Pelodiscus sinensis: one gene and its partners. The protein of the gene in region 2 interacts with the protein of the main gene of each other region in a pairwise test. Links are inferred from orthologs where the notes say so. Each region holds a gene or a part of one and is shown on either strand. Other genes may lie near its edges. The genes, in order: KLHL42, UBQLN1, AGPAT5 and NME3.

Region 1 (8,097 bases), on a different chromosome or scaffold from region 2:
GGAGAGACTTAGTTCAGTTCCAGCTATTAGCCCAAATGATAGCTGACCTGGAATTGAGTGAGGACTTGTCTGGGATTCAAACCAGCATAAGCCTAAGATACTTGGGACAAACTTCCTTTGTTTGTTCTCTTTGGGCTCCCAGAGAAAGGATGTGACCCACTCATCACAGTGTATATTACATGTCCACCCCTATACCCAATCTACAGAGGATGTCAATATGTTACAATTCTCAGCTATATAGCCTGCCTCTTTAGCTTAAGCTGTAGAGACTGAGGCTTTTAGCTCTGGAAGTCCCTGATTCAGGCTTCACTACAACGATCTATCAGAAAAAGGTATACAAATTGCAGATATTCTGCAGATAACCTGAAAATGCTTAAATGCTACTGATGGGGAGGAAAAATAAGGGCATGCCTTTACTTCTATTACAATACCATGGTCTAGTAAAGTTCTTGGAAGGTGCAAAGTGGAAAAATAGTAAATATGTAGCTAATAAATGGCTATCCATTCTTAATACAGCTATGCCTCCAGCATGTCAAGAAGGGTTGCTACTAGGGATGTAAGTGACTGGTCGACTACCCAATAAGATGCTTATCAGGTAGTTAAGTAGTGACTTGACTAGTCACTCCACCCCACCTTGCTGCCTCTATCAAAGAGAGGCAGCAAGGGGGGAGCAGGAGCCTGTGCTGGGGTGTGTGTGTGTGTGTGTGTGTGTGTGTGGCTTAAATGCCGATTTCCCCAGCACCATCTGGGGAGGCAGAGGCATAGCTGGGATCGGGTGCAAGCTTGGAATCAGCTGACTCCCAGCTTGTGCCCAGTCCCAGATGCTGTGCATCTCCTTTTTAAATGTATTAAGAAACACCAGGCTTTTAATGCATTTAAAAAGCAGAGGTGCAGTGGTGGGACAGTTGATTCCCAGCTTGCACCTGGTCCCCTGCTGCAGTGCTGCAGTTTCTCCCCTTATCAATTAATTGAGTAGTTGATGGAAATTCCATTGACTACTCAATTAGCTAATTACACTTAATTTAACATCCCTAGTTACTACCTCTACATATTTCTGTGAACATCCCAAATCTCATGGTGCAATCCAGCACCCTGCAATCCAGCCTTGGGTAATGCCAAAATACCCCAAGGTATCTTTTGTAGCCTGGGAGATTGTGACATACACAGGGCATAATTTACACTACCGAGTATCTGTGTCACTCCTGCTTTCTAACTTGGGATGCAATTTACACTGCTTTACTGCTCCAGCCTCCAGTCATGGCATGCCTGCAGTCTCCAGCATGTAATTCACTCCCGTCTGTGTAGGCAACCTGCACCTATTTTGTTACCCCAAATAGAGTTTCCCAGATTCTTCAAACACACTCGATGAGCTAAAACAATAAAACAAGTTTATGAATTACTTGCACTCAAACTGTCTGTAATGAGACATGAAAGTCAAAAATGGTTACTAGAAAAAGATAAAAGGCAAGTAAAGAAAGCTAAATTCCAAGTTAAGTTTTTCGAACAAGATGTTCTGAGCAGTCAAACTGTTTAGGCCAGGACCCTTTCTCTAGGTCCATGGTTGCATCATTTGTTCTTTCTGGTGCAGTATTCAACAAAGGGAGAGGGAGAGACAGGAGAAGGAGTTGTTTCCCCTTCCTTTTTATAGTCCTCTTACCTACCTTTGAGATGCATTTCCAGGTGGAAGCATTGTGACTGGCAGTCTGTGCAGAGAGCATATAATATCCATTGGCCTTGTTTATACCTGGCTGAGGTGTCAACTTACCCTTTATCTCTGAGGCATTTGTTTGACCATTCCTTAGACCTGGAACATTGTTAGTAACAACGTACTCTTGAATAAAACAACTTTACATACAATGTTCCCACATGCATTTTACCATGACAACAATGACCGGCAAATTGTTAGTTTACATCACACAGATTGTTACCAAGGTGTGCAAGGTATGAACATGGGGGTACAATCTGTCATAGAGCTATCACACTTTGATGAGATATTTGTATGCTGTGCTATGCTGATTCCCATTCCCCACCTTCTGGGTACAGGACAAACTACACAAGCTGATAGGTCTTTTTCATTTTCAATGTATGTCACTCCATACTCCTCACATGTGATTGTATTTGCATTAATATATATATGGAGATATACCATCTCATAGAACTGGAAGGGACCTTGAGAGGTCATCGAGTCCACTCACTTGCCCTTACAGCAGGACCAAGTACCATCCCTTAAACTCACTGTCTACTTTGCAAATACACCGTGTTGCATGCTTGTGACTAATCACATTAAAATAAATTAAATGTATTTCCATGCAAGAGGCTAAGCATGTGCTTAAGTGTTTACAGGATCTGGGTCTAAATTGTAAACTCCTTTTGCTTCTTGGCTTAGTTTTTCAATACTTTTTATTTTCTATCACAAGGAGTACAACCACCACGGAAACAACAAAAGAAATAATCAGACTACTCCTAACTGGACAACAATATGCTAGCCACTCCCAGGTGTGTTATTGTAACTGCAGTCTGCCAGTCCTACCGTGGCTGTCCCCAGCCTTGATTATAGTGTACAGAGTCTCCACACACTCAGTGCCAGACCATCCCTGGATATGTCTGTCCTGCTCTGTCTAGCCCTTCTCCAGACAGACCAGTTATATTACGTTTGTTATTCCTTTAAGACAGGGGTGGGCAATAATTTTTGGCTGGGGTGGGGCCTATAACAGAAAGGGTGGGGCCAGGATGCTTCCGGGCTTCCCCACCCACAGATCATGATTGGTCGGGGGTGGGGGAGCCTCTTTGCCCCCCCCTTCCCACTAAGCACCCATGCCCCTGGCAGGACAGGAAGAGGCTTTGCACACTCCCCACCTCCAGGCCAATTAGAGCCTGGGGGCAGGGGAAGTGCATGAAGTTTCCTCCCCTATGCCAGGAGCATATAGCACTTTGAAGTGCCCTGTGCTCCTGGCAGGGTGGGAGGAGACTTCACGCATTCCCCTGCCCCCAAACCCTGATTGGTTGGGGGGCAGGAGAAGTGCACAAAGTTTCCTTCGGCCTACCCACGCCATGCGAGGAGCAGGAAGCACTTGAAAGTGCTGTGTGCTCCTCGCAGGGTGGGGATAGAGCGGAAGAATCTTCATGTTCTCCCCCGCCCCCAAGCAAGGCACTTCAAAGTGCTACATACTCCTGGCAGGACAGAGGAAACTTGGTGCGCTTCCCCTGCCCCCAGGCCCTAATTGCTACAGCTTGGTGGGCCGGATCTGGCCTACGGAGGCCCTTTTGCCCACCCCTGAGCTAGAGAGAGAAACTGTGGAACTGGTCTTCATATGCAAAGCTGACACCTTCACACAAGGACAGAACAAAGATATTAGCTAGATGGGCTGTTATATTCAACACCCAAATGACATCAAAAGCTAAGGATCAGACACAGCCCACTCTATTAGACACATTTAGCATGGACACTATAGTTGACAGGGTTTCTGCCTACCCCCACCTCCCTCCTTTTTATCCCTCTGTCCTCTCTTTTTCAGCTTAAAATTTTGGATTTCTGTACTTCTCTGTGGCTCTTGCTCTGCTCATCTGAAGAAGTGGGTTGTGCCTACAAAAGCTCATGACACTGTATAACAGCGTTTCCTAAACTGTGGTCCACGGCCCAGTACTGGTCCTTAGGAAAAAAATACCAGGCCTCAGAAAAATGTTTGCGAGAGCCCGCCTCACGGCCTGCAATCCACAAGATGAACTCTGCACTGAACTCCCAGTGTCAATGGAGGTAGCACAGGCTTCCTGCGGGATAGGGCGGCAGTTCTGCAGCTGCGTACCAGGTTCCGGAAGCGTGTGGGCTGCTCTCCCCCTGCCCCAACAGCCGGTACAGTACCTAAAATGCCGGTCCAGCGCATGGTGGGGACTTTGTTCCCCTGCTGCCTTCCCGTGCGCAGGGGAGTGGGTGGAGATCCGGGACTATGCTGGCTCCAGCTGCTCGGGCGGCGCATGCTGCCATGGAGAGCAGAGGAGCTAGGTGTGCACTGCCCAAGCGGTTGGGGCTGGCACGGTCCAGGACCCCGCTGTGCAGGAAGGCATCAGGCATGCAACAGACCAGCGTGTCAGGTACCGTGCCACCGTTTGGAGGACGGGGGAGCAGCCCGCGCACTTCCTAGGCCTTGGCAGCTATAAGATCGCCAGGTATCGGTCCTGGTCCTGTCCCCTCCCCCCCCACCCGGACCCATACAATACCCTGCCCCAGTACCCACAAGTGCTCTGTCCCTTGCCCCAGCACCCGCAAGCATCCTCTCCCCTGGCCCAGCACTCATTGGCACCCTTCCCCAGAGCTCTGTCCTAGCACCCACAAACACAGTTGGGATCACATTAGTGAGGTTTGAGGGGTTATGTTTTTGTATCTCACTTGTGTGGCCTGGACTGACTTTCTGTGGGCTAAAGTTGGCAATGGGGTCTTTGGGAGGACCAGAAACAATTTATTTGCATATTCATCATCTGCTTAATGAATATGCAAATAAACATTACTGGTCCTCCAAAAGCTTGTGAATGGATTTACTGGTCCCCAGTCTGAAAAAGTTTGGGAACCTCTGCTATATAATGTTTTTGTAAGTCTCTAAGCTTATACAGGGCCACTCGTTTTTTATTTATTTTTAAAGGAAGCATGTACATTTTCATTTTCTTTTGATGAATGAGTTAAGGACCCATCCAATGCTGGGTAAATCTGCTAGTGAGGTATAAGAGACAGAAAAATAAAGCCGAAATTCTTTCCCCATTGTCAGAAGGTCTAAAGGTCTCTGGGCTCTGCGCGGTGCTGCTGAGCGACTCCCACCCGGGAGGGACCTGTCGCGGGACCGCCAGGGAAGGCAGCTCGGGGCTGAGCTCGGCCCCCGGTGCTCGCTAGGACGAGGGGGGCGGTGCTCCCGCCAGGCGCACGGAGCAGAGAGCGACGTTTCCAGGCCCTCCCCGGGCTCCTCCCCGGCCGGGAGCTGGGGCCTGGAGACGCTGGGGCCCCGGCCTGCTGCAGCGCCCCGGCTCCAGCATTGCCTTTTTAGGCCTGCGCGCCGCCGCGGGACGCAGCCGGGAGAGGGGCTGAGCCCGCCGCCACGGGAGCCACCCCCCGCCCCGCTCCTCCCGCCAGCCGGCGGGGCAGGCAGGAGCCCGGGGCCATGTCCCAGGCGGAGGCGGGGGAGGCAGCGGCTGGCGCGGAGGAGGAGGAGGTGGTGAGGATCCGGCTGGGGGACAGGTGCTACCCGGTGAGCAAGAGGAAGCTGATCGAGCAGAGCGACTATTTCCGCGCCCTGTTCCGCTCGGGCATGCGGGAGGCGGGGCAGGGGCAGGAGGAGCAGCAGCTGCGCGGGGGGCTCAGCGCCCAGGGGCTGGAGCTGGTGCTGGACTTCATCAACACCTCCTGCCTGGCCCGGCTGGAGCAGGAGGAGGGCGGGGAGCAGGAGCCCCCTCTGCTGGAAGAGCTGGTCGAGGCCGCCTCCTACCTGCAGGTCACCCCCCTGCTGCGCCTGCTCCTCTCCCAGGTGAGGCTGGGCAACTGCCTGGAGCTGCACCGCCTGGCCCAGGTCTATGGCCTTCAGGACCTGCAGGATGCCTGCCTGGGCTTCATGGCTGCCCATTATCATGAGGTTCTGCGGCGGCCGGAGGCCCGTCCCCACCTCCTCCTGCCCAGTGCCCTCAGGCAGCAGCTGAGGGAGAGGCGAATGAAGGGCACTGCCACCCTCCTGGCTATTGGAGACTTCATGGGTGCCTCCTCCCTGGGCCTGGCCCCATGCCGCCACCTGCAGGAGGAAACCCCTTGCTCCATGCTGAGGTATGATGAGGTGGCTCAGAGGTGGCTGCCCCTGGCCAGCAACATGCCCCTGGATCTAGTGAATGTCCGAGGCTATGGGTCGGCAATGATGGACAACTACCTGTTTGTCGTCGGGGGCTACAGGATCACCAGCCAAGAGATATCGGCTGCCCACTGTTATAACCCCTGTATAAATGAATGGTGTCAGATGGCTTCAATGAACCAAAAGAGGTAAACCCCCACATGGTGCATTACCAAGATATAGCATTTTGAGTTGGGTAGGTATAGACTAGACCCAGAAGTGCAGGGCCTGATTCACCACCTACCTGCATTTTGTGAAGTCAACACTATCAGTGTAAGCAGCATTTGACTGTCCCTTTTTCTCCCGGTTTGCTGATGTTAATGACAGTACTCGAAGAGATGATTAATAGGAATGTAAAATCCTGTTTAATTAACCGGTTAAACATTAAGTTTAATCACTTAACTGATTAAATTAAAGTAGGGTGGGGACTCTCTGCCCTGTGGGCAGGGGCTGCTTCAACCCATCTGTTTCCGGCCCCACGCTTGCTCAGGGATGGAAGTGGGGAAGGAGGAGGGGAGAGAGAGAGAGGGAAAAAAGAATGCATGTATGTATGTCTAGGGGGGGATGCTTACCAGGTAACCCATTTAGATCATTAGTGATCAATCGGGCCTTTAGGGTCTAGTTTTCTCTGTAGTCTCCAAATATCTGTCTTTATTTAAAAAAGAATTTCATGGTAAAATAATGAAGGTAAAATTCTCTTCCTAGTCAGTGCATGGGGTCTTTTGGCTCAATAATCTGGTCTTCCACATATAGGAGTCCTGTTGGCATCAATGGATCCATGCATGTAAGGAGTACAGAACATCAGAGTCAAGATTGACCAAACAGGTTCTTATTTGTATTGTGGCATTTAAACTTTGTGGTAGGCTCTGCACACACCTGCTATAAAACCACAGTTCCTGCTAGGGATGTTACATTTAGATTAATTAATTAATTAATTAATCATATAGTCAATGGGATTTCCATCCACTATTCGATTTTAGTCTATAAGGGCACTTCCGCCTTTGAACTGTAGCAAGAGCTCTGCCAGGTATTTGCTACAGTTCAAAAGCAGAAGCCCCGTAGGGAGCGTGAGGCCAGTGGGGGACTGGCCCTGTGCTCCCTGCGGCGCCTGAGTCTTTGAAATATGCACGACCACATGGAGCTCTTGTACATTTTAAAAGCAGAATCACAGCAGAACTGGTACGAGTGGAGACTGCTTCAGACCCTGCTCACACTGTTTCCTCTGTGTCTGTACCTTCTCTGCCCCCTCAGAGATGGTGCTGGGGGAAACCAGCTTTTAAGCCAATTCCCCTCAGTCTTGGCTCCTGCTCCTCCCCTGGGGGAGAGGAAGGGGGAGTAATTAGTCACATCCCTAGTCCCTGCCCAAGAGAATTTACCATCGAGTATACCCAACAAAAATGTTTGCCTTGAAACTGGTGCCTTCCTTTCTTTTTGCTTCTTATATTGTTTTAAAAGCTGATGAAGTTGATCATAACTGTATTATAATTGTCAGTGGAAGTGGCCCATACAACTCTGTATTTTTGCAATTAGTGTTTATTGATTTTTTCATAAAGAAAAAGATAATGAAGATCAGAAAAAAGGCAAACATCTTAGTTTGTACATGTTTCTAGATGATGCATGCTCCATAGGATCATTGATAGAAGTACAGGCAGTCCCCGGGTTACGTACAAGATAGGGACTGTAGGTTTGTTCTTAAGTTGAATCTGTATGTAAGTCGGAACTGGCATCAGCCACTGCTGAAACTGATCAGTTTCAACAGCCGCTGAATCTGGACACCAGTTCCACTTACATACAGATTCAAGGTAAGAACCCCAGGCGTCCGCAAGTCAGCTGCTGCTGAAACTGATCAGCAGCTGATTCCAGGAAGCCGAGGGCAGAGCAACTCTGCCTCGGGCTTCCTGTAGTCAGCCGCTGGTCAGTTTCAGCAGCGGCTGACTTTGGGACGCCTGGGGCAGAGCAGCTCGGGTGCTGCTGGCTTGGTCCAGTAGCACGGCCGCTCCTCGGAGCTACTGGACCAACCCAGCAGCACCCCAGCTGCTCTGCCCCAGGCATCCTGATTCAGCCACTGCTGAAACTGATCAGCAGCTGAATCAGGACGCCTGGGGCAGAGCAGCTGGGGTGCTGCCTGGTTGGTCCAGTAGCGCCAAGGAGCGGTGCTGCGGGACCAACCAGCAGTGCCCCACCTGCTCTACCACAGGCCCCCGGCTTTGCTCCACGTCTCCCTGGTCTGCTGGGGGGG
Region 2 (7,203 bases):
ATGATTACCTGTTCTGTTCACTCCCTCTGGAGCATGTGGCATTGGCAGGACACTGGGTTAGATGGACCTTTGGTCTGATTCAGTATAGTTGTTCTTATGCTATGTTCCTATGTTTGTGATGAGTTTTGCTTTCTAGTTTTTCATGTGCTGCTGGCTAAAGGATGTGAGATTCACACCAATGCAATTTAATGTCTTAAAGTGTTTTATTGTCCCGAGAGAGACAAAAGTTATTGAGCTTCAAACTCTTTATCATCTGAACTGAAAGAGTAGGTACATCAAGAAATCATATTGTGATGAACTTTCCCCCGCACCTGAGTAATTCTATGACGAGGACCCACTGTAGTGCATTAGTAAGTCATTTTGCATAACTGATTGCAATACATTACTTGTTCCCATTTTATTAAATGATCTAATTGAATCAAAGAATTAATAATCTGCCTCATTCAAACTAAAAAATTATAAAAGATGTTCCAAAAAGCATGAAATTATGTAATTGATATTTGTGAGACTACATTATTTTGTGATACCCTAATTTCACAAATGTTGTAGCTGGGATTGAAACATGTAAAACCTACATGTAAAACCTATGATTTCCTTAGTTACCACTACTTGTTTCATAGAATCATAGGAGATTAGAATTGAAAAAGACATCAGGTGGTCATCTAGTCCAATCCCCTGCTCAAAGTTGGACCAAATTTAACTAACCTGTGGACTGCAAAAGAAATTCTGCCTTCCAATCTGATGTTTGATTTCTGTATAAAATGCTGTTCCAAGATAATTTCCAGTGCTCTGTGCTGCTGGAACTGTTACAGTTCAGGGCAAATACCTGTATTTCTACCCCACCCTCAGCTCCCTAGCTGTTGCTCTCAAGTGGACATTCATATCTCTTTCAGTCTGATCATTGTATTTCCAGACTGCACAGTTCACAGCCTTTTGTATGTTTCCTACCACAGTCTGCTTAAATAGAGCTGCTTGCTTTCTTTTCAGAGACTGGTAACAGAGGAAATGCTATAGGTATGTAGCACACATTTCCTCCTATACCTTAAGGCTGTGACTAGACTGGCCAGTTTTTCCGGAAAATCAGCCACTTTTCCGGAAAAACTTGCCAGCTGTCTACACTGGCCGCTTGAATGTCCGCAAAAGCACTGACGATCTCATGTAAGATTGTCAGTGTTCTTGTGGAAAGACTATGCTGCTCCTGTTTGGGCAAAAGTCCTTTTGCACAAAACTTTTGCAGCTCAGATTTGTTTTCCGCAAAAAAATCCCGATCGCGAAAATGGCGATCGGGGCTTTTTTGCGGAAAAGCGCATCTAGATTGGCACGGATGCTTTTCCGCAAAAAGTGCTTTTGCAGAAAAGCGTCCGTGCCAATCTAGACGTGCTTTTCCAAAAATGCTTTTAATGGAAAACTTTTCCATTAAAAGCATTTCCAGAAAATCATGCCAGTCCAGACATAGCCCAACAGTGGTGGTATTGCTGTGGATGCTTCCATTATAGTTCTGTAGTCCTTTTTAAATGGTGAATGTTTATAATAGGAGAGAAATCTTGAGTAAAGATTTCAGATTAGGTGTTGATTGCACAAAGTAGGTGAGCTCTGAAGCAGGCCTAGTGAGATGAAAGAATCCTCACTGCCAGCCTTAGTCTCAGCTCCCCACCCACCCTTTGCAGTAGAGCAAGACTACTGCCACTCCATACCCCACAGTGAAGAAACACCTAATTTTGCTATGACACATAGGCCTGCACCAGTTTTGCTGACAACACCACAGCAGCAATAGCGGTATGGTGACCATATTTTCTGAACCAAAATTAGGGACACATTAGCCATGCCCCTGACTTCCATTAACCATGCCCCTATGACCTGTTAGCCACGCCCCCATCACAAGAAGTCCCACCACTGAAGGTAGTACTCCTTAGGTCAAGATGGACACATGAGCATAAGTAAAGGGTGACCCTTCTAAGAACTCTTCCTACTGTCGTCCTACCAATAGGGATAGGTTTGGCCCACACAGGACACTCCCCATGAAACTATCCTGCAGTTACATTAACCCGACTTGCATTGCATTAACTTGGGGAGAGGGGCGGAGAGGCTGGGGGAAGTGTTCCCTCTAAGATTTTCCTCCCATAAGCAGAGTGAGTTTTGTCTTGTGCACCTGTATTGAGGTCATGTCTGCTTGTTGGGATGTGTGCCACTGTGGCACCCAAGTTACTAATAAACATCATAAACCTCTCCCTTTTCCCCTCTGCTGCCATTGTCTCCGTCCCTTCCCCTATCTGTTCCCCCACCCCTCACTCTCCTCTGCTGTCCTGCTCCTGCCCTTTTCACTCCCCTCAGCCCTGTGGGGACCTGCCCCCCTCTCCCCTGCCCTGCACCAGCCCTTCTCTTCCCCTTTTGCCCACTCTGATTATCTGCAGGTACCTCTCCCCATCCTTTCTCCTAACACCTCCCTCTACCCACTACCCTGCGTCTCTTCTCTGGGGCCCATCCCTCCCCTCAACATGTCTGCCCTTCTGCTTTACCCCCATAATCTCCTGGTACCTGCACCTTCCTGGTGCCTCCTCCTTCCCTCTCTGCTCACCCCCTCACCACTCTCTGCCCCAGTTCTCCTCATGCCCCCTGTGCCCTCACCTACAACTTGCTCCATCCCCTGCCTTCCTCATGTCCACCCCTCCTTTCAATGCTGCTTCTCCCAGCACCCACTTCACTCCCAACCTCTCCTCTTCCTTCCTCTTGCCTCTATATTCCCTCCCCTTTTCCACCCCCCACTGACACCTTCCCTCCCCCTCCTGCCTTTTTCCTTTGTCTCCTTTTGAGAAGAGGCAGGGGGAGAACTAAGAAGAGGGGTGAGGAGAGGGAAGGGGCTTGTGTGGAGGGGAGGGGAGGGGAGGTGGGGGGCAGCAGAAGAAGAAAGGGGGCAGGCAGCGGCAGAGTGGAGGAGAGACAATTAGTACGGGGATGTAACCAACATTACAAAGGGATTGTACTGATATTTGATTATTCTGGGCCTGGGAGCAGAGTGGAGTCTAGTGGTTATATGCAGCACAGCCAGCCATCTAACTGGGCAGGCATTCTGAAAAGCAATATGACAAAATAGATATTACAATGAGTGTGCTATCTTGATGATGTGCTCTATCCTTAGCAGCTCTGCGTGGACCTTTTGCAAGTGCTTGGTATCACTGGCCCAATAGTTTTTAACCTCGTGTGTTGTCCATGGACAGCAGTGGCCAATTGATGGTTTAATGAATCTGGGAAAGGGACAATACACTAGAACACTAGTTCTTAATTTGTGATTGCTGGGTGCTTAGGTACTCACAACCTATCTCTGAGGTTAGCCAGAGCCTCTGCCCCTCTCTTTGAAAAAAAGGGGGGGTGCACAGGGAAAAGTGGTGATCTGTGTCCTTAGAAGCTGGGAGGGAGACAAGTAATAGTTCTAGCCCCTAAACAATTAATTCCTGGCTTTCTCACAACTGCGTCGAAGTTATGGTATGTGTGAGTATCAGCTGCAATGCATGACACCATGATGAAGCAGCTCTGCACAACTGGGCCTCAGATTTCCGGGGGTGGGGTGCTAAAGCTGGCACTCAACCTATATGGCCTGGAGCGCGGCTACCCTATGGCCCCCGACTCTGCACCACGCAAGTTGCAAAGGGACACCTAGGCGCCTGGTTGCTTCAGAAACACCAGTAGTGAATTAACTGCGGCCGAGCGGCCCGCACTGCACGTGCTGCAATGGACGTGGCCTGGGGATACTTTGGACCCTCTCCACCCCCCGCCGACAGCGACGCACTAGGAGAGAGGGAGGCGGGGCATCAAGGCCTCGAGCCAAAAGCGTCAGGAACCACTGACGTCTCGCTCAGCCGCTCAAGCGCACGAGGCCGCACCTGCGCACTAGGCAAAGCGAACGCATAATTCGAGTCCCGTCAGATGACATGAGCAGGCGCGCTAGTTACACGTGAGAACCGAAAGGAGTCGCACGGCGGCTAACCATTACTCTCGCGCACTATCGGCCAATCGATATTGCGCGTGCGCGCTTGTTCAATCACCTGTTGCACATGCGCGCGAGGCTTAGCCCTGTGTCCTATGCCTGGCGAGACAACATCCCTTTCTAGTAACTTCCCTCATTCGAGACGTCATCAGTGCGCGCAGCGCCCGATCTGGGTTGTTTCCGTTTAACTCTCCGGGAGGGAGAGCGTCGCGGGTGTTTTCCGGTGTCGGCGCGCGAGGCAGCGGCGCTGAGGAGCCGGGTTTGCGCAGCGTGCCCCGCGCGGCGAGAGCGAGCGAGACCCAGAGCCAGCGGCCCCTCTCCCCCTGCCATGGCTGAGAGCGGAGAGAGCCCCCCCGGGGCCCCCAGCCCCCCGGATTCCCCCGCCCCGGGAGGAGCCGCCGACTCGGAGCCTCGAATCATCAAAGTCACCGTGAAAACCCCCAAAGAGAAGGAGGAGTTCGCGGTGTCCGAGACCAGCAACGTGCGGCAGGTGAGGGGGGCGGGCCCGGGAGGCCGCGCCGGTGGGGAAACGGGGCAGGCGCGGCCGTGGAGCTTCCTGCCCCCTACTCAGTTTCCGAGCCCCGGAGAACGGCAGCCGCGCGCTCCTGCGAGCGCGGAGGTTGGCGGCGCTGTCCCGGTGCCGAGGCCAGCCGCAGAGCGGGGCCCTCCCCGCCAAGCCAAGCCAGGGCCCTGCCGGGTGACGAAGCAGCGCCTCGCTGAGTAGCACTGCGCTGCCGCTCCTTGCCCTGGCCCTGCTTATTTCCCGCTATAGTACAGTTAGCCCCGCGACTAGCCGGCGCCGGCTCGCCCACGGGCAGCGAGTTCTCGGAGAGCAGAGAGGAGCGTCTTTACCGATCTTTGCTACTGTAAGCTGAGCCTAAGCCCAGTTAGCCGAGTGGCGCTAACTGCGGGAGACGGGGCCGCGAACTGCTAATTGAACGGGTTACCAGTCAGGCGGAGGTTGGTGATGAAAGAAGATAATAGCAGCCTTCACCTGATAGTCCTCATGGCTAAAGAAAGTGGTACAGGACGTGTTTCAGTTAGGAAGTGTGCATGTGATGCTTTTACCCTAAAAGAGTATTGCGGTTTAAATTAGATTGAAAAAAAAATCGCTAGTTAAATGTGGAAACGTGTTAGTGCTATTACACAATAGTTTCTCTGGTGTGGTGTAGTCATGAGCTGTTAGAATCTTTTTTTCTGTAAGTTTTTATGACAGCCAACTTGTTCCTTTGCAACTTGCGTTCATAGGAAAGAATGCTATCTATTGAATCAAACAATTTCCTGTGATATTCTTTTTTTGGAGGCCTTCCATCCAAATATTGACTAGGCCTGATTATACTTAAGCAAAATGCAGGACAATGGAGCACTTTAAAGACTAACAAGATGGTTTATTAGATGATGAGCTTTCGTGGGCCAGACCCACTTCCTCAGATCAAATAGTGGAAGAAAATAATCACAACCATATATACCAAAGAATACTTTGGTATATATGGTTGTGACTATTTTCTTCCACTATTTGATCTGAGGAAGTGGGTCTGGCCCACGAAAGCTCATCATCTAATAAACCATCTTGTTAGTCTTTAAAGTGCTCCATTGTCCTGCATTTTGCTTCAGCTACCCCAGACTAACACGGCTACACTTCTATGATTATACTTAAGTGATGCTTGGAGTTTTGTGGTTGCAGGCTGTAAGACATTACCAGTGAAACTGTAAAGCAACTAGCAAAATAGTTTCCTTGCTCATGAAGGAGACAAACTGCCACATTAACAGAGCTACAAAAATAAATGTTATCCATGGGAACTCATTTTATATTCCTTTTTGTGTGTGTAATTATTTAGCATCCCTAGAGATGCATTAGATGCCGTTTAAATTTAAACACCATAATGACTTCAGCCAAAGCTGCACCCTTCTTTTGTAAGGCTTTGTAAGTAGATTTTTTGGAACATGACCAGTGTGTGGAATGGTGTGGTAGCCTATTTGATAAAGGCTATAACTTCTGGGCAGATATAAAGGACAAAATAGGAGCTCCAGCAGCAAGAGCTAGGATCAACACCCTGGTTAGAAGCACAGCCCCTTGCTGCTACTAGGAAGGGGGAAGATGCTGAAATTTCTATCCTGGTATTCCTCTTTGGATCCAACTCAGAAATCTGATTTTTTTTTTTTTAATTAAGATCAATTTTTGATTGCTGGGCCAGAAGTTTCAGGAAGGCCTACCTCCTGATGGCTGAAAGGGGGCGCGCTTTGTCCATTAGGAGTGGTGTAAGCTTCCGAGTTATGAATTCTATCACTCCCCATGCAATGTAATTAAGTTGACTTAAGCCATGGTGTAGAAACTGCTAAATTGCCAGAAGAATAATTGTCAGCCTAGCTACTTCCTGTCAAAGGTGGATTTATTAGAACAATGGAAGAACACGTTCCACTGCCATACTATTTGTCTATGCTGCAGGATCATAGCTTGTAGTATTTCCAGTGAAAACATACCCTTAAGCTTTTCCAGAATCTCCTGACTGCTGCACTTGGGTAGGCTCTGTTACTCTGCCTTCAAGCTTCATTTTTGGACTTGTGCTTACCTAGGCAAAATTCCAGTGCCTCTCTGATACTTCTGGCTTGCTTTTGCAAGCAACAGCTGTGTGAAACTGACACTTTTTCCATTTCCCCATTCACCTGAGAGTTCTGAATAGCAGTAATGAAACTGATTACTTTTATTTCACTTCTTTTCTAAAATTTTGCAACTTTTGACAATCCAGCTAAGAGATGCAAAGCCTTTTCAGTCATATGGACCAGTCTTTCACTTAAATTAATAGGTAATAGGTCTCTTCTATGTGGTTTTGAGCCTGTTAACCCAGAGCTGTTTGTTGTTTAAAAATGACAACACTATAAACACTTTGCATTTAAAATTTTTTCAGAATAATTTTATTATGTATAGGAACTATTTTAGAATTGTCACTTGCCATGAAAAGCTTTCTACTTGCAGATGGGTTTTCCAAGTCCTGCTTAGGCTCTGTAGTAATTAGGGACGTAAAATCCTGTTTAATTGGTTAAATAGGTAAACATATTGTTTAACTGGTTAACTGATTAAAAAGGGAGCAAGCTGGGCAGGAGGGGGAGAGGGCACTCCTATCTGTCATGGGCAAGGATGCCCCACAGATGACTGCTCTGTTGTCCCATCCAGAGCTGCCCCTGCCTGCGGCATGTGTGGAGCTGCTCCATCCCCCACTGGT
Region 3 (8,287 bases), on a different chromosome or scaffold from region 2:
CCGCTGGTCAGTTTCAGCAGCGGCTAACTTGGGGACGCCTGGGGCAGAGCAGCTCGGGTGCTGCTGGGTTGGTCCAGTAGCGCAGCCGCTCCTCGGCGCTACTGGACCAACCCAGCAGCACCCCAGCTGCTCTGCCCCAGGCGTCCTGATTCAGCCACTGCTGAAACTGATCAGCAGCGGCTGAATCAGGACTCCTGGGGCAGAGTAGCTGGGGTGCTGCCGGGTTGGTCCAGTAGCGCCAAGGAGCGGTGCTGCGGGACCAACCGGCAGCACCCCACCTGCTCTACCACAGGCCCCGGGCTTTGCTCCACATCTCCCTGGTCTGCTGAGGGGGGCACTAGCTGCGTCCCCCCCAGCAGACCAGAGAGACGCGGAGCAAAGCGGCGGAGGACCCGGGCTGGACCCGCGGCGCTTCCAGATCAGCTGGAAGCGCCACAGTCCGGCCCGGGTCCTGCGCCGCTTTGCTCAGCGTCTCCCTGGTCTGCAGACCAGGGAGACGCTGAGCAAAGCGGCGCAGGACCCTGGGGCCGGACCCGCGGCCGCTTCCAGATCAGCTGGAAGCGCCACAGGTCCAGCTGGGTCCTGCGCGGCTTTGCTCAGCGTCTCCCTGGTCTGCAGACCAGAGAGACGCTGAGCAAAGCGGCGCAGGACCCGGGCCAGATCAGGGAGATGCAGACCAGGGAGATGCTGAGCAAAGCCGCGCAGGACCCAGGGCCGGACCCGCGGCGCTTCCAGCTGATCTGGAAGCAGCCGCGGGTCCTGCGCCGCTTTGCTCCCCGTCTCCCTGGTCTGCTGGCTCCCGCAGCAGACCAGGGAGACGGGGAGCAGCTTTTCTCGCCCCGAAGGAGGCGGGCGGCGGGACCAGGTGTCCCGCCACTCCAGTCCTCTGGGGCGAGAAAATCCCCGTTCGTATCTGCGGATCCGACATAAGTCGGATTCGCGTAACTCGGGGACTGCCTGTATAGTTATGTGCACACATACAGATATTGATAGGTGAAAGAGCAGGCTGAAACTTGCAAGAGAGGCCTCCAATTCTGGGTTTCTACCTTGAGATCTTGAACCTGAATTCAGAGCTACTAGAAATCACTGCTCCAATTAACTTCAGTGAACTTAGGAAAATGAGCAGTATGAATATTGGGAAGTTATGCTTACTTTCATTGGTTGTAATAATTGAAGTTATTATTATTAACAATATATTAATTTTTACATTTTATTTTAACTCAAAGGTACCCCTTTAACACTCCTTCTACTATGAACCAAGTGATAATAGAAAAAGTCTAACTTGAAACACAAGTCAGACACGAACAACTTTATATAACCCAAGATATATTCATAGTGATCATTCAATACTACAAATATGTTTGAAGCCACTATTTGCAAAGAACTCAAGGAAGGTCACAGGTTTTTCTTTGGGTAGCAACAGTCATTTCTAGTAGTTTCATTAATCCTGTTTGCCTTACTCCTGTCTATTATTTTATTACCTAGTATGGTGATTGTGCAAAAGAGACAGCATGGTTCTGTTGTTAAAAACACTAAAAGGGGAGAGCGCGTCTGGATTCCACAATGTTATTATGCAGATGTCTCTTTGCCTCAGTTTCCATATCTGTAAAATGAACATAATAATATTGGTCTTCCTTTTAAAGCACTTTTACAGCTGTGAATGAAAAGTGCCAGATAAACTTATTGTGATGATTCTTTGCAAAATAAGAGGGTCAGACCTCTACCCCAGCTTACAAAAGAAAAGCCAGAGCCTACAGAAATGAGAAGTCTGTAGGAGTTTTATCACCGATTTCCAAGGCTGCAGCTCACGGGTTTCAAGGTCAAGTGGCTGCAATTAAAGGCAGCTTGCTTAGCTGTAAAACCCAGACAAGAACACAGGAAGGGAGTGACAAGAAGATTTGAATTGAGAGGTTGTGCAAACAGAGGGCTAGGTCTGTGGATAGCCAGTGGCCTAAGTATATTTTCTTTGCCTTCGTGGTACTCTGATCTCACTGAGACTACTCTGCCTAATGTATGTCTATTTAGGTACAACAAACGCTTGACACGGGATGACCTGGCTCAGTCTGAGCAGTTCATGTAGTGGCACAGCTCGGCACCCAAGCAACACGGCGGCGACGGGTGCATTCACGAGCCCCAGCACAGATCCTGTGCCCTCCACGTAGCAGCTGGCTGGCAGTGGCCCCAAGTGCAGACCCCTTGGTGCCCACTCGGCCCCCCGCTCTGCTCGCTGCCCACTCCCGGTGCCAGGCGCGGGGGTTCACCTGCACGCCGGTGTAGCGCTCGAAGAAGAAGAGCACCATGCTCTGGTAGATGCTGTAGAACCGGTCATCCAGCTCCCAGTAGAAGCGGGCGGGCAGCAGGGCGGAGAGCAAGCGCCAGGCGCCCCAGGCCAGCACGTAGGTGGGCGCGGTGCCCAGCATTACGGCGGCGGGCAGGACATAGCGCATGGAGTAGGTGTGCAGCACCAGGGACAACAGCATCTTCCCGGCCCGGCCTCGCCGCCCCTCAGCACCCACGTGCGCCGCGTCCGGTCTGTCTCCAGCCGCCTCCGGCGCCCGGCCGCATAGCCAGCGCAGCGGGGGCGGGCAGGGGCGGCGCCCGGGCTGGAGCAAGCGTGGCGGCGGCGGGAGCTGGGGGATGGGCCGGGTTCCGTCTCCCCTTGGCCGCCTCCTCCACCAGATTGCCCGGCGGCAGCAGCGGCGCGGGCCGCAACAAGGTGGCTCCTCAGTGGCTGCGGGGAGACTTCCGGGGGCGGGCAAGGACCGGAGGCCGCCGCCCCGCCCCGTTCAGCAGAGGGTGTAGGTGGGGCTGCGGCCTGAGGTGTCTCCCCGGGACGGGGCTGGGCAGCGCCGGCTGGCAGGGGCCAGGCTGTTCCCGCCGCCCCGCCAGAGCCCTGGGTCTTCGGCCCCCCACATAGATCCCGTCCCGGATACTCAGTCTCCCCGCCCCAGTCTGGACGTCAGTCACCACGGCGTCTTGGGCACCCTCTCTCCCGCCCCGCCGCTAGTGCCCGCCAATCCTAACCTCCGTGTTAGCGCCCTGCTGGCCCGCCCCCACCGCAGCCGTGTCCTCGTCAGCCGCTGCCGCCTACCCCCACAGCCCCGTCCTGTCACCTGCCACTCTCAGCCCCGACTCTGGACTCCTGCCCTCGCCCAGCACCACCTCCCTGGTGGGCATCTGCCATTCCCCCGCCGCCTCCCTTCCACACACACATCCACTCTGTGTCTCACAGACCCATTCCAAGCACCCACCCCTGCAGTTCCAGTTTCGCCGCTCGCCCCTCCCTACAGCCCTTCCTCAGGCACTTACTTCCTGTTGTACAGTTTGGCTTATGGGCACCTAGCTCCTCCTGCCCTACCTGGATGTTGGCCCTTGTTCACTGCCCCCATCCACCACCATCCAGTGTGTCTCGGCACGCCAGGCCAAGTGCCCATCCTGCCTTTTCTGTCACACATCTCACAATCCCCTGTTCTGGGCATCCACCTTAGAGCGCCTTTAAGCCAATCAGTGCCATAGCAATGGTGTCACTTTTCAGCTCACAGGGCTTGGTGAGGGTTCCCTCAGCTGGGATGCCAGTATACCAAGATGTTGGTGTATGCTGCTGATCTTTCTCTATGGCTGAGTCTAGACTGGCATGATTTTGTGGAAATACTTTTAACGGAAAAGTTTTTCCGTTAAAAGTATTTCCGCAACAGAGCGTCTAGATTGGCACGGGTGCTTTTGCGCAAAAGCACCCGTGCCCAGTATAGACACACTTTTGCGCAAGAAAGCCCCGATGGCCATTTTAGCCATCGGGCTTTCTTGCGCAAAAAATTAAGGTGCCTGTCTACACTGGCCCTCTTACGCAAGAGGGCTTATCCCTGAGCGGGAGCGTCAAAGTATTTGCGCAAGAAGCACTGAATTCTTACATTAGAATGTCAGTGCTCTTGCGCAAATTCAAGCAGCCAGTGTAGACAGCTGGCAAGTTTTGCACAAAAGCGCTTGCTTTTGCACAAAATCTTGCCAGTCTAGACGCACCCTATAGGTGTTGCTATGCTGAAGTTGAAAATGCCATGCTGGATGGTAGATTACAAGCTCCTTGGCACAGGAACCATCTGTCTGACACACATTTGTACAGTGTCTGGAACCATGAGGTCCAAAATATTACTGCTACAGACATAAATAATAAATACATATTTCAAGAGGGATAAGAGATCTTTCGGAAAAGGCTTTATTTTCTGCAAGATCAGCGTCTAGACTGGCGCTTTTCTCCGGCAAATCTCCGTGCCGAAAAAAAGTGGCAGCCATTTTTATACTAATGAAGTGGGGGAGATTTAAATCCCCGCTTCATTAGCCATTGTGATACGTCTAATTTACATCCCTTTTTCGAAAAAGGGATGTAGTCTAGACGTAGCCATACAGTAACTGGCAAACTGAGTCTTGCTAGTGGATTGTTTCTACCTAGCAAAAAAGGTTTTTTTCTGGAATTGGGCTGCTTGTTTTTGTGGACAGATCTACTTAGTGCCACTTGTTATTAAGGTGCCTGAGATGTCCCATTCAAAGTTTGTTTTCAGTTGTTTATAGTTTTATCATAGCATAACTTCAGCCTGAAATTTACATCCTGAGGGTCTGCCTCAAATTGGTTGTTTTGGGTTATTTTTGTTTTGTTTAATTTTAGCTAAAATGATTTAGCTTTTTCCATGTAGTCTTCAGGATCATGTAAAGGATACAACTCTTTACTTACTGATGTTTAGGGAAAATTTACCAATATAATTATACCATAGCAGTTATACTGGTATAATGCTACTTGTGACAGCACTTCTTATGTGGGAATTTACATCAGTATAATTATATAACCGTATAATTATGTGGGTAAATTTCCACATGCGGACAAGCCCTCAGATGCTGTATGTTAGAGCTGACCAGACGACAGTTGTATTTCATGACAGCTTTTGAAATCTGGAATGAAATCCAAGCCTTTTGAACACTTTTGTGAAAATAAAATTGTGTCAAAATTTATTTTTGATTGAGTTTTTAGTTCAGGAAGTATACACTCCCTCACTCTTTCCCCCTTCATGCTGAAAATTTTGTAGAAACTAACGTATTTCAGCTTAGATGAAACAGCACTTTTGACAAATTGTATTTTTGTTTAGTTTTAAGGTGAGATGGCAAGCTGACGTGTCTAAAATTCCTGTGCTTTGGTTGACGGTGAGAGGAACTTGGGTTAGCCCTTGCAAATGAGGTTTGTTTGACTCACAGATGTGTGCATATTGATTGATCTATTTATGGCTTCCACATATAAATTCCACATAACTGTTCATACCTCAATGGCATTTTGCTTAGCCCCCACATTTTTCCTTCAGAAAAAACCCTGAAATGTAAAGCATTAAATGCAACAGCTTAAAATATTTAAACTCTTCCTTGTTGGATTAATTACATGATGGTGTTGGCAAATTTAAGAACCTATACACTAGAAAATATTAATTAGACTGGATGAAGCCAGATAATGTCACATCAAAATCAAATGCATAAAAATGAAACACTATGTAAATACCACCTGAAGTATGAACATTTAAACTCCCAAATTTGGAAAGTCAAAGTTCTCATAGCAATATTAACACGATCATATTGCACAGATGTCATAGCATTTCAAGTTACTACTACTGAGATCACAATATTTTGTTTCTGTTCACTTATCTAGAACCAGTATTTGGGAAAAAATAGTGTTTGGAAATAATTTGCTCTGCTCTGCCCTGCCAAGAGGCCCCTACAAATCACACAACAGTTCATGAAATCACATTATTCTGATTAGCATCTTATTTCTCCACTTCAGTTTTGATGTGATTTTTTGCCACTAACATTTTCTGGATTGCTAGCAGTGAAAATTAATACAGTTTATACCATTTCAAAACTTCCATTTCAATTCATGTTCAGAAATAAGTTTGAGATAGAAGCCAATAAGATCATGTCAGAACTCAAATGGAGGAGGCAACCAAAGTGGTAATTGGAACAGTATGATTTATAGTCTGATATCTTGTTCTGCTAGGACTAGAAATTATTTTTGCACCTGGAAAGATGAAATTCTGAAGCAAACACAACTTTGCAACTTAAATTTGGCCCCGTTGTGTATATGCATCATGATAAAGTCTCCAGTTACAAGATCACTAAGGGTATGTCTACACTACCCCGCTAGTTCGAACTAGCGGGGTAATGTATGCATACCGCACTTGCTAATGAAGCCCGGGATTTGAATTTCCCGGGCTTCATTAGCATAAGCGGGGAGCCGCCATTTTTAAATCCCCGCTGCTTCGAACCCCGTGTAGCGCGGCTACACGGGGCTCGAACTAGGTAGTTCGGACTAGGGTCCTATTCCGAACTACCGTTACTCCTCGTTTCACGTGAAACGAGGAGTAACGGTAGTTCGGAATAGGACCCTAGTCCGAACTACCTAGTTCGAGCCCCGTGTAGCCGCGCTACACGGGGTTCGAAGCAGCGGGGATTTAAAAATGGCGGCTCCCCGCTTATGCTAATGAAGCCCGGGAAATTCAAATCCCGGGCTTCATTAGCAAGTGCGGTATGCATACATTACCCTCCTAGTTCGAACTAGGAGAGTAGTGTAGACATACCCATACTATTTTACAGAACTTCTACCTGGCTGTTGTTAAATATTGTGTTTTCTCCTCAGTATGTCCTTCCAGACCTTTTTTATTGTACAATATTTGAACCCTGTTCTGAAAAAAGAATTATAATTTTTCTCAGGGCACTTCACAAGAGAGTAGTAAAGTGATATACACTGGAGAAGATAAGTGTATTGTGGCATTGCACCTAAGGATTTTTAATACAGGGAGAACAAACTCAAAAGTATTCAGTAATTTTTGGATGTCTCATTAGAATGATTAGGACTTGATTTTTCGGAATATTTAGCATTATACAGCACATTTTACGTTGTATGCACACCACCTTCCAAAGCTCAGCACTTCCCCACAGACCCAAAGATATCAAATTGAACATTGAATAGTACAGTAAAACTCCATTAGTCCGGCATCCAATGCTCCGGGACTCCTGATGGTCCAGCACCATCAGGAACCCGGAAGTGCTGGGGCAGCCGGACAGGCTTCCCCCATTCAGCTGCAGCTGAAACTGACCAGCAGCTGAATCGGGGAAGCCGGGAGCAGAGCAGCTGGGGTGCTGCCGGGTTGGTCCCGTAGCACTGACCCTCGGGGCTGCGGGACCAACCCGGCAGCACCCCAGCTGCTCTTGGGGACGCCTGGGGCAGAGCAGCTGGAGTGCTGCCGCGTTGGTCCCGCAGTGCCGTCCTTTGGCGCTGCGGGACCAATGCGGCAGCACTCCAGCTGCTCTGCCCCAGGGGTCCCCGATTCAGCCGCTGCTGAAACAGATCAGCGGCTGATTCCAGGAAGCCCGGGGCAGAGCTACGGGACCAACCCGGCAGCACCCCAGCTGCTTTGCCCCAGGCGTCGGGATTCAGCCGCTGCTGAAACTGACCAGCAGCGTCAGTTTCACCAGCAGGCTGAATCCCAATGCCTGGGGCAAAGCAGCTGGGGTGCTGCGGGGTTGGTCCCGTAGCGCCGCCCCTCGGCGCTGCGGGACCAACCCCGCAGCACCCCAGCTGCTCTGCCCCAGGCGTCCCCAAGAGCAGCTGGGGTGCTGCTGGGTTGGTGCCGTAGCGCCGCCCCTTGGCGCTGCGGGACCAACCCGGCAGCACCCCAGCTGCTCTATTGCAGGCATCCCCGATTCAGCTGCTGCTGAAACTGACCAGCAGCGGCTGAATCAGGGACGCCTGGGGCAGAGCCAGACTGTCGTAAGAGGGGGCTATGAAGGGTCTGGGGTGGCATCCGCTCCCACCCCACTCCAGACCCCTCATAGCCCCCCCTTCTGATAGTCCGGCATATCTGATAATCCGGCACCCCCTGGGTCCTAAAGGTGCCGGATTATCAGAAGTTTACTGTAATAGAGAGGTAGCCGTGTTAGTCTGATCTTGCTAAAACAAAAGGAAAAACTACGTAGCACTTTAAACCATCTCGTTAGTCTTTAAATTGAACACTGGTAGGAGGTATCAGGCATTTGCTGCACCTGGTCGGAAGCCCCACCACCTCGACACTCTCTGCACTAAGATGATGCCCTGCTGGTAGGGAAGAGAAGCAAGTTTAGATCTACAGGGGTTGCCTAGAGAGTCCTCTGATGATGAACTGCAGGGAGAACCTGCAAAAGCTGGCTTTTCAGCACTTACATAGGCTAGAAGTAAGCTGAGGCCAATCAGTGCCTAGCAGGATAGATAAAAAGGGCTTGC
Region 4 (7,475 bases), on a different chromosome or scaffold from region 2:
CTCCAAAGCACGTGGTCTTTGAGGGCCAGGAGCTCCTTTCACCGAATGCACACATGCCCCACCCGTCCATAGGGCAGGTAATGATAATTACACTGGGTGCAATAAACAGGATTGCCCCACTCTGCTGCTGGGCTTCTTCCTGCATTCTCTCCTACAGATAATTGGATTATTCAGGAGGAAAAAGTTGGCTTTCTTGTCACTCGGCAATCCGCCTCCACTGGTAGCTCCCCTTTTTCACTCACCCAACCTAATAAAATGAAAGCAAGAAAAGAAAACTTCCTAACAGTTTGATTTAGTCCACTGTAGAATTATTTCACAAGGAAAATAGTAAAAGTCCAATTCGTTTTAAATTACAAAAGTAACTTGAAGGAATCCCTAGAGACTCTGTCATAGTGGACAATCTGTGTTGGCAAGGAAATGGAGTCCGACAAATCGGTTCTCTTCCATCTGAAGTGTTTTATAAATATTAATGAATTAAACTCCCCAACATCCCTGTAAAGTATAGAGTTGTGGAAACTGAATAAGAGAGGCGAAATGACTTGGTCAAGCTAACAAGTGATCAAGAGCAGTGTCAGGACTATAATCCAGATGTTCTGTCAGTTGCCTGTGTTATCTGCTATACAACTTGTAGTGGGAGTGCGTACTGTAGTACAGGGGTCCCCAATGTGGTGCCCACTGGGGCATTTATGTGTGCCTGCCTAGCGCCACCCCCAGGTGCCCGGCGCATGCACGGCCCCACACCGGGCGCCTGCTTCACGCGCGGCACCCACCACCCAAAAAGGTTGGGGACCACTGCTGTAGTAGATACAACTCCCATAAAATATCCAGTACTATGCCGAGCTGAGGCATTGGAGATAATGCAGTGGCATAGTCCTCATTATGGAGTTTGTTCATAGTATTGTTTACTTGTTCATCATCTTTCCTTAGGCAAGACATATAATGAAGTGAAAGAGATTGACAAGGTGATGTATCATGACTGGCGGATGGTGCCCAAACATGAAGAGGAGTGCTTCAAGAAATTTACTCCAGTGTCAGTGGAAATCATTCAGTATGTGCCATATCCCCCCCTTCTCCGTGCCATGATCCTTGCACAAAGGCAGAAGGAAGGAAAACTTGACACACAGGAACCACTGATTGATCTGGAGAAAATCATCATCTTCACAAACGACTACTTTAAAAATCAGAAAAAAGCTAAGGGGACACCAGTATGAAGGTCTAGAGCTGTACATGTTGGAGCATCTGAAAGGCTTTTTAATATTCTGTGTTGATTGCGCATACAATTCTCCTTAATGAAGAATAGGACCATAAGCCACATGCCCACTTCTGGTTCAATGTATTAAAGTATAATATGTTGATGTCTCAATACGTTTCACATCCAAATGTGCAACTTTCTTGTATATATTCAGAAGATGTAGTGATACTCAAGATTTTTGTGGTCTTTCATTCGCAGAGGGCCCTCCCTTTTTTGTTCCTTGCCTTTTCTGGTGCGGCGTATGTGTCCAGGTGTGCAGGCAGACCGCAAATGAGACTCTTTTGAGAGGATGCTCTCAAAGTTTGGGCCTACAATAATAGAATGACGACTCTAAAAATGGCACCTTCAAGCTTCTCTTATCCTGCTACTACAGTTCCAAAGACATGAGTTGGATTCTAGTCTGTTTTGTGAACCATTAGCAGACATATTAATTAAATTTCAATTTTAGAACCCTTTGCCTTGATACATCCCTAACCACTATGTGACTATCCAATAAACACATGCTTATCTGATAGTTGGCTAGTGACTCAACTGGTCACTCCCTTCTCTTCTTCCCCCCCACCTCTCTTTCAGAGAGAGGCACCAAGGGGGTGGAATAGGAGCCGATGCTGGGCAAACTGGCTTAAAAGCTGGTTCCCCAGCATCATCTCCATCCCCCCTGCTGAACTTGTGCTTTTTAAATGTATTAAGAGCTAGATGGCTCTTAATACATTTAAAAGGCAGAACCACAGCAGGGTTAGCTCCCGGGGTTGCGAACTAACCCCACTGTAGCTCTACCCCTCCCCCCCATCAACTAATTGACTAGTTGATGAAAATTCTATTGATTAGCTGATTAAATGCCATTTAACATCCCTAATAGAGGCATCTCCTCAACTATAGCCCTAACTAAACCCATAAATACCACTCAAATGAACTAGGATTGTGAAGGTCATGAGCAAGATAGAAGGAATCCATCTTGACTTTCAAATTCCACATTGTATGCCAAATTGACAGTGGGGAAGAAGAACCCATCTTTTTTCTTATAAACAGTAAAAGGTCGGACTCCCTTTTGCAGTCAGTGTCAAGCTGCCATTTGCTTCAATGCCCCTGTGCTATTTTAGGATTAGTTGATGCAAACAAACCTGTTATTAGAACCTGTAATGTTTGAGCATGCTAGGTCATCAGACCTCAGCCACAAAACTTACCAGAAGTAAATCAAGAAAAGAAAAAAAAAGTGGACCTGTTTAAACAATAAATACATTAATTTTTTACAAGTGATCTTATTTGGTATTTTTTCTGTGATCTTATTTGGTATTGGTAATACAATAAAGAAATATCAAAAATATTTTTCATTGCAAAAAGGCGTAGTTGTATTTTGAGATTTATTTACCCCTTTGCAGCCTTATAATGAACTATACTGTCCTGGCCAGGCACCCATTCCAGCAGAGCACATTGGCTGCTTCTAGACTGGCAAGTTTTTCCACAAAAGCAACTGCCTTTGCGAAAAAACTTATCAACTGTCTACACTGGCCCCTTGAATTTCTGCAAGAACACTGACGATCTCATATAAGATTGTCAGTGTTCTTGCGGAAATGCTATGCTGCTCCCGTTTGGGCAAAAGCCCTCTTGCGCAAATGCTCCACTCCTGGAAACTCTTGGCGGCGGTGCGGGGCTTCCCCTGCCTTCCTGCAAAATGGCGGAGCGTTCGCCCCTCGCTGTGCCATTCCCTGCCCACCCCCTGGACGCACTGCGGGTCCTGGCAGACCCATCACAGCCCCCCGCTGGAGTACCTCCCAATACTCCAGCATATCCGATAATACGGCACCACCTAGGTCCCAAAGGTGCCAGATTATCAGAAGTCTACTGTAGTTCTCTGAAAACATCCACTCAGGGTGCAGCGGCAGTCAGAAAAGCACATAGATTGTTAGGAATCATTAAAAAAGGGATAGAGAATATCTTATTGCCTCTCTATAAAACCGTGGTACACTTACATCTTGAATACTGCATACAGATGTGATTGCCTCATCTCTAAAAAGATCTATTGGCATTGGAAAAGGTTCCGAAATGAGCAACAAAAACTATTAGGGATTTGGAATGGGTCCCATATAAAGAGAGATTAAAAAGACTTGAATTTTTCATCTAAAAAAGAGGAGACTAAGGGAGGATATGCTAGAGGTCTATAAAAGTCATGATGGGTACAGAAAAAGTGAGTAACAAAGTTATTTACTGGTACTTGTTTCCATAATATAAGAATTGGGGGTCACCAAATTAATAGGTAGCAGGTTTAAGACAAACAAAATGAAGGGTTTTTTTCACACAGCGCACAGTCAACCTGTGGAACTCCTTGTCAGAGGATGTTGTGAAGACTAGGACTTCAACATGGTTCAAAAAAGAGCGAGATAGATTCATGGAGGTCAGGTCCATCAATGGCCATTAGCTAGGATGGGTAGGAATGGTGTCCCCAGCCTCTGTTTGTCTGGAGATGGGTGAAGGGGAGGGATCACATGATGATTCCCTGTTCTGTTGGGAGACAGGCGCTGGGTGGATGGACCTTTGCTCTGACCCAGTGTAGCTGTTCTTAAGGATCCCAAGCAGCGCCTGTGCGGCGGCCTAGCGCATGCACCAGCCTGGCCCTTAGGCTGCCAGTGGGGTAAGGACACTGCGGCGGGGTCGCAGGTTTAGCTGCCCCTAGTCTGGCAGCCCGAGCGCCTCAGCGCGAAGCAGGCAGCTGGGCTCCGGGCTGCACGGCGTGTGGGGCGCTAGGCGCTGCAAGCCTGCTAGGCGCGTACCCGACAGGGCCTGGGGGGCTCGTAACACACCCGCATTCCCCCCCCCTCAGCCCGGGGCTTTCTGGCAGGGCCCTGTGGCTCGGGCTGAGGGGCGAGACGGGCACGTCCTCCCCGCCCCCTAGCGGCGTGTGCGTGTGCCGTGACCAGGCAGCTAGCGGCGCATGCGCGTGCGTTGCCCAGGCCGTAGCAGCGGCGTCCGGCTCCACGCGCGCGCCCCGTCACGGTCTCCCGCCATGATCTGCCTGGTGCTCACCCTGCTCGCCAGCCTCTTCCAGAGCGGTGAGCGCCGGCCGGGCGGGACCAGGCCGCGGGGGGGCGCGGCCGTTTGGGGGCAGGAGTCGCCCGCGGAGGGGCTGCGTGGGGCCCGGGCCCTGCTCGGCCGAGGCGCGCGGCCGACGCCCCGCTGGTTCGCAGCGCGTGTGCTCGGCGGCGGGGCGGGGCGGGGCGGTCGCGCGCAGGGCGGGAAACGCCTCAGGAGCGCGGCAGAGCAGGCGCTGCCCCTTGGCGCGTCCTTGAGCCGCGCACGGCTCCGCGCCCAGCCACAGCCGGCCTGCGCCCCGTGGCTCCTACCCCAGGGTCTGTCCCGCTCGCGCAGGCTGCGGCTACGTGGGCAAGATCTTGCACAAATGCTTTGAACGCAAGAGTATTTGCGCGGGAGGGTCTGCACTGCCAGGTGCCTTTGCGCCGGAGCACCGTGCCAGTGTGGACGCTCTTGGGCAAGAAGCTCCAGGGGCCCTTTTAGCCGTTGGGCTTTCTTGCAAGAAAGTCCTGTTGCCTGTCTACACTGGCCTCTTGCGCAAGAACAGTTGTGCAAAAGGGCTTATCCTGAGCGGGAGTGTCAGTGCATGTGCAAGAGGCACCGATTTCTCGCATTAGAACGTCAGTGTTCTTGTGCAAGAACTTCCCTCCAGTGTAGACAGGCAGCAAGTTTTTGCGCAAAAGTAGCTGCTTTTGCGCAAAATCTTGCCAATGTAGATACAGCCACTGTGTCTCTCTAGCCCGCATCCACATCCCTCCTGCACAAGGCTCTTTTGGGGTCCCAGAGCTAGCCTGGGACCAAAATTCATGAAGTGGGTTCCCCTGTGAAATTATTGCCCACCCCTGCACTACTGAGAGCAGAGTGGTACCCAACCCTTCTCCATGGCAGTAAATTATCACTGCATTTGGGTCATTCTGACTAAGGCATGTAATTGGGCTTGGGGAGGGAACAAAAAGGCTGCATAAGGTGTTTATTTTACAGGTGGGAAAATTGAGGTACAGAGAATTCTCCCAAGGTCCCACAGCCATCCACTAGAAGGCTAGAAATGAAATCTGGCCTTCTTGACTCTTAGCTCCAACTTTTTACACATACCACCTCTATGATCTATGCTAGGATGGCCAAACTTAATGATCTTCTTAGCCGCTCAAAGCTTCAGCCCTCCTTTTGCGGAAGTCTCAAAGCCTAGCCAGTGTATTCTATGGTCCTGCTTTGAGCAGGGCGTTGGACTAGATGACCACCTTGAGGTCTCTTCCACCCCTAATCTTCTGTGATTCTATAACTTCCCTCCCTACTGGGCAGACCCTATACCACTATCCTGCTGAAAGACAGAGGTCTCTAGCTCCCCCCCCCCCCATCTAGTACAGAGGTGGGCAAAAGCGCCTCCAAGGGCTGGATCCAGCCCACCAAGTGAGTTGATTTGGCCTGCGCAGGCCCTTCCGCTCCCCTGCCCCCAGGCCAATTAGTTCCTGGGGGCAGGGGAGCACACAAAACTTTCTCCTGCCCTGGGAGGAGCATGCGGCACTTCAAAGTGCTATGTGCTCCTCCAAGGGCTGGAGAAGACATCACGCACTCCCCCGCCCCCAAGCCCTGATTAACCTGGAGGCGGGAGAGCTGCGGGAAGTTTCCTCTGCCCTACGAGGAGGTCACACGGGGCGGGGGCAGGGCGAAGGAAGCTTCACGCAGCTCCCCAGGCCCTGATTTTATTTTTTAGTTCCTTGATCCTGGTTGTAGTGACCCTTCTGATCTTGAATGCATGCTGAGATTGTCTCTAGACCTAAGTGTTCTTCCTTTTCTTCATCTGCTTTCAGCTTACACAGGAGTAAATGAGCTCACCTTCCTAGCCATCAAGCCAGATGGGGTACAGCGGCATCTCATAGGGGAGATCATCAGGCGCTTTGAAAAGAAGGGCTTCAAACTGGTGGGGATGAAGCTTATGCAGGTGAGAGGAGCTGGCAGATCAAGGATTGTCCTGGCACTCTTGTCTCTAAAAGTCCAGTCCAGGCCGCATTGTGTATGCTCTGTCTTGTGGCTTTAAACCTTTGGAACAAGGACCTGTTTGCACCCTGCTTGCTAATGGTGCTTTGTAAGTAATGCATAGCTTTTATGTAGTACTTTTTATCAATAAATCTGAAAGCACTTTACACAGGTCACTTTCATGATCCCCATTTTACATATGAGAAAACTGAAGTATAGAGCGGGGACATTGCTTGCCTAAAGTCACCCAGTCAGGGGCGATGTTGGCAATAGAATCCATAGAAGCATAGAAATTTGGGTCTGGAAGAGACATCAAGGGGTCATCTAGTTTAGCCCCCTGCTCTGAAGTAGGATTAAGTATTCCTGCCTCACAAGTTCCCAGTCCAGTGCTCTGTCCACTAAGTATCGATTAACTGACTAATCGAATAGTCAGCGCATTTTGCATCGACCATAGGGTTGTTGCCACACGTTAAAGGCAAAAGTGCTGCATGGAGCCCAGTTTCTTCTGGGGACTTCATGTGGCGCAGCGTCTTTGAAACACCGCAAGGAGCCTGATGCCAGGTTCCGTGCAGCATTTCAAAGTGGCAGTGCCGCTGGGAGTCTGGGGAACGTGGATCCTGGGCTCCACGTTCAGTCTGGGGCCACCTCAGCTAGCCCCAGGCTGCACGCGGCATTTCAAAGTGGCAGTGCCGCATGGAGCCTGGGGTCTGGCCCCAGGCTTCAAGTGGTGCTGCCACCTTGAAATACCTCCTCTCTCCCCCGCTGCCTCTTCCTGAAAGAGGCAGCAAGGCAGAGGAAGCGACAAGTTGACTATCCTGTCAACTATCCGATTAGCCTTTTCTTATTGGATAGTCAACTAATGCTTCACATCCCTGCTATCCACTTGGCCATGATTAACAAAGCTCAGAAACACCTGGTATCAGAGCTGCTGTATAGTCTGGCTGAGACCATTTCTCCAGCATCCCTCCTATGGCAGCTCCAAATAGTGTTAAATCCTACTATTACTAGATGGAGACAGGAAACAAAAGGAAAGTTCCCATGTTTTGTCTCCATGCAGGTAGGCAGCACAGCTGGAGAGGGATTTAATTTGGATCTTTTTCTGGCCACCAGCACTCAAGGTCAAGTTTTCCAAAGCACTTTAGTCCCATTTTCAGAAGTGATTTAGGCCCCTAAATCTCATTGACAGTCAATGGGAGTTGAGCTCTTCTTAAAATCCTGTCTC

Evidence for each region.
Region 1: the proteins of UBQLN1 (region 2) and KLHL42 interact in binary tests that used the Homo sapiens proteins (3 or more experiments, as listed by UniProt). The two-hybrid records come from large-scale screens. The link is inferred for Pelodiscus sinensis from reciprocal best matches to the Homo sapiens genes UBQLN1 and KLHL42.
Region 3: the proteins of UBQLN1 (region 2) and AGPAT5 interact in binary tests that used the Homo sapiens proteins (3 or more experiments, as listed by UniProt). The two-hybrid records come from large-scale screens. The link is inferred for Pelodiscus sinensis from reciprocal best matches to the Homo sapiens genes UBQLN1 and AGPAT5.
Region 4: the proteins of UBQLN1 (region 2) and NME3 interact in binary tests that used the Homo sapiens proteins (3 or more experiments, as listed by UniProt). The two-hybrid records come from large-scale screens. The link is inferred for Pelodiscus sinensis from reciprocal best matches to the Homo sapiens genes UBQLN1 and NME3.

Annotation. Positions count from the first base shown.
Region 1 is NC_134711.1:129,725,580-129,733,676, forward strand, and holds the start of KLHL42 (kelch-like protein 42), read left to right. Parts: upstream 1-5,001; 5' UTR 5,002-5,144; coding exon 5,145-6,007; intron 6,008-8,097. UniProt on the Homo sapiens protein: Substrate-specific adapter of a BCR (BTB-CUL3-RBX1) E3 ubiquitin-protein ligase complex required for mitotic progression and cytokinesis. The BCR(KLHL42) E3 ubiquitin ligase complex mediates the ubiquitination and subsequent degradation of KATNA1.
Region 2 is NC_134716.1:40,477,639-40,484,841, reverse strand, and holds the start of UBQLN1 (ubiquilin-1), read left to right. Parts: upstream 1-4,042; 5' UTR 4,043-4,310; coding exon 4,311-4,472; intron 4,473-7,203. UniProt on the Homo sapiens protein: Plays an important role in the regulation of different protein degradation mechanisms and pathways including ubiquitin-proteasome system (UPS), autophagy and endoplasmic reticulum-associated protein degradation (ERAD) pathway.
Region 3 is NC_134713.1:41,456,889-41,465,175, reverse strand, and holds the start of AGPAT5 (1-acyl-sn-glycerol-3-phosphate acyltransferase epsilon), read right to left. Parts: upstream 3,024-8,287; 5' UTR 2,481-3,023; coding exon 2,262-2,480; intron 1-2,261. UniProt on the Homo sapiens protein: Converts 1-acyl-sn-glycerol-3-phosphate (lysophosphatidic acid or LPA) into 1,2-diacyl-sn-glycerol-3-phosphate (phosphatidic acid or PA) by incorporating an acyl moiety at the sn-2 position of the glycerol backbone.
Region 4 is NC_134726.1:470,074-477,548, forward strand, and holds the start of NME3 (nucleoside diphosphate kinase 3), read left to right. Parts: upstream 1-4,168; 5' UTR 4,169-4,181; coding exon 4,182-4,299; intron 4,300-6,087; coding exon 6,088-6,218; intron 6,219-7,475. Other genes in the region: MRPS34 (small ribosomal subunit protein mS34), read left to right, coding at 928-1,211. UniProt on the Homo sapiens protein: Catalyzes the phosphorylation of ribonucleosides and deoxyribonucleoside diphosphates, other than ATP, into the corresponding triphosphates with ATP as the major phosphate donor.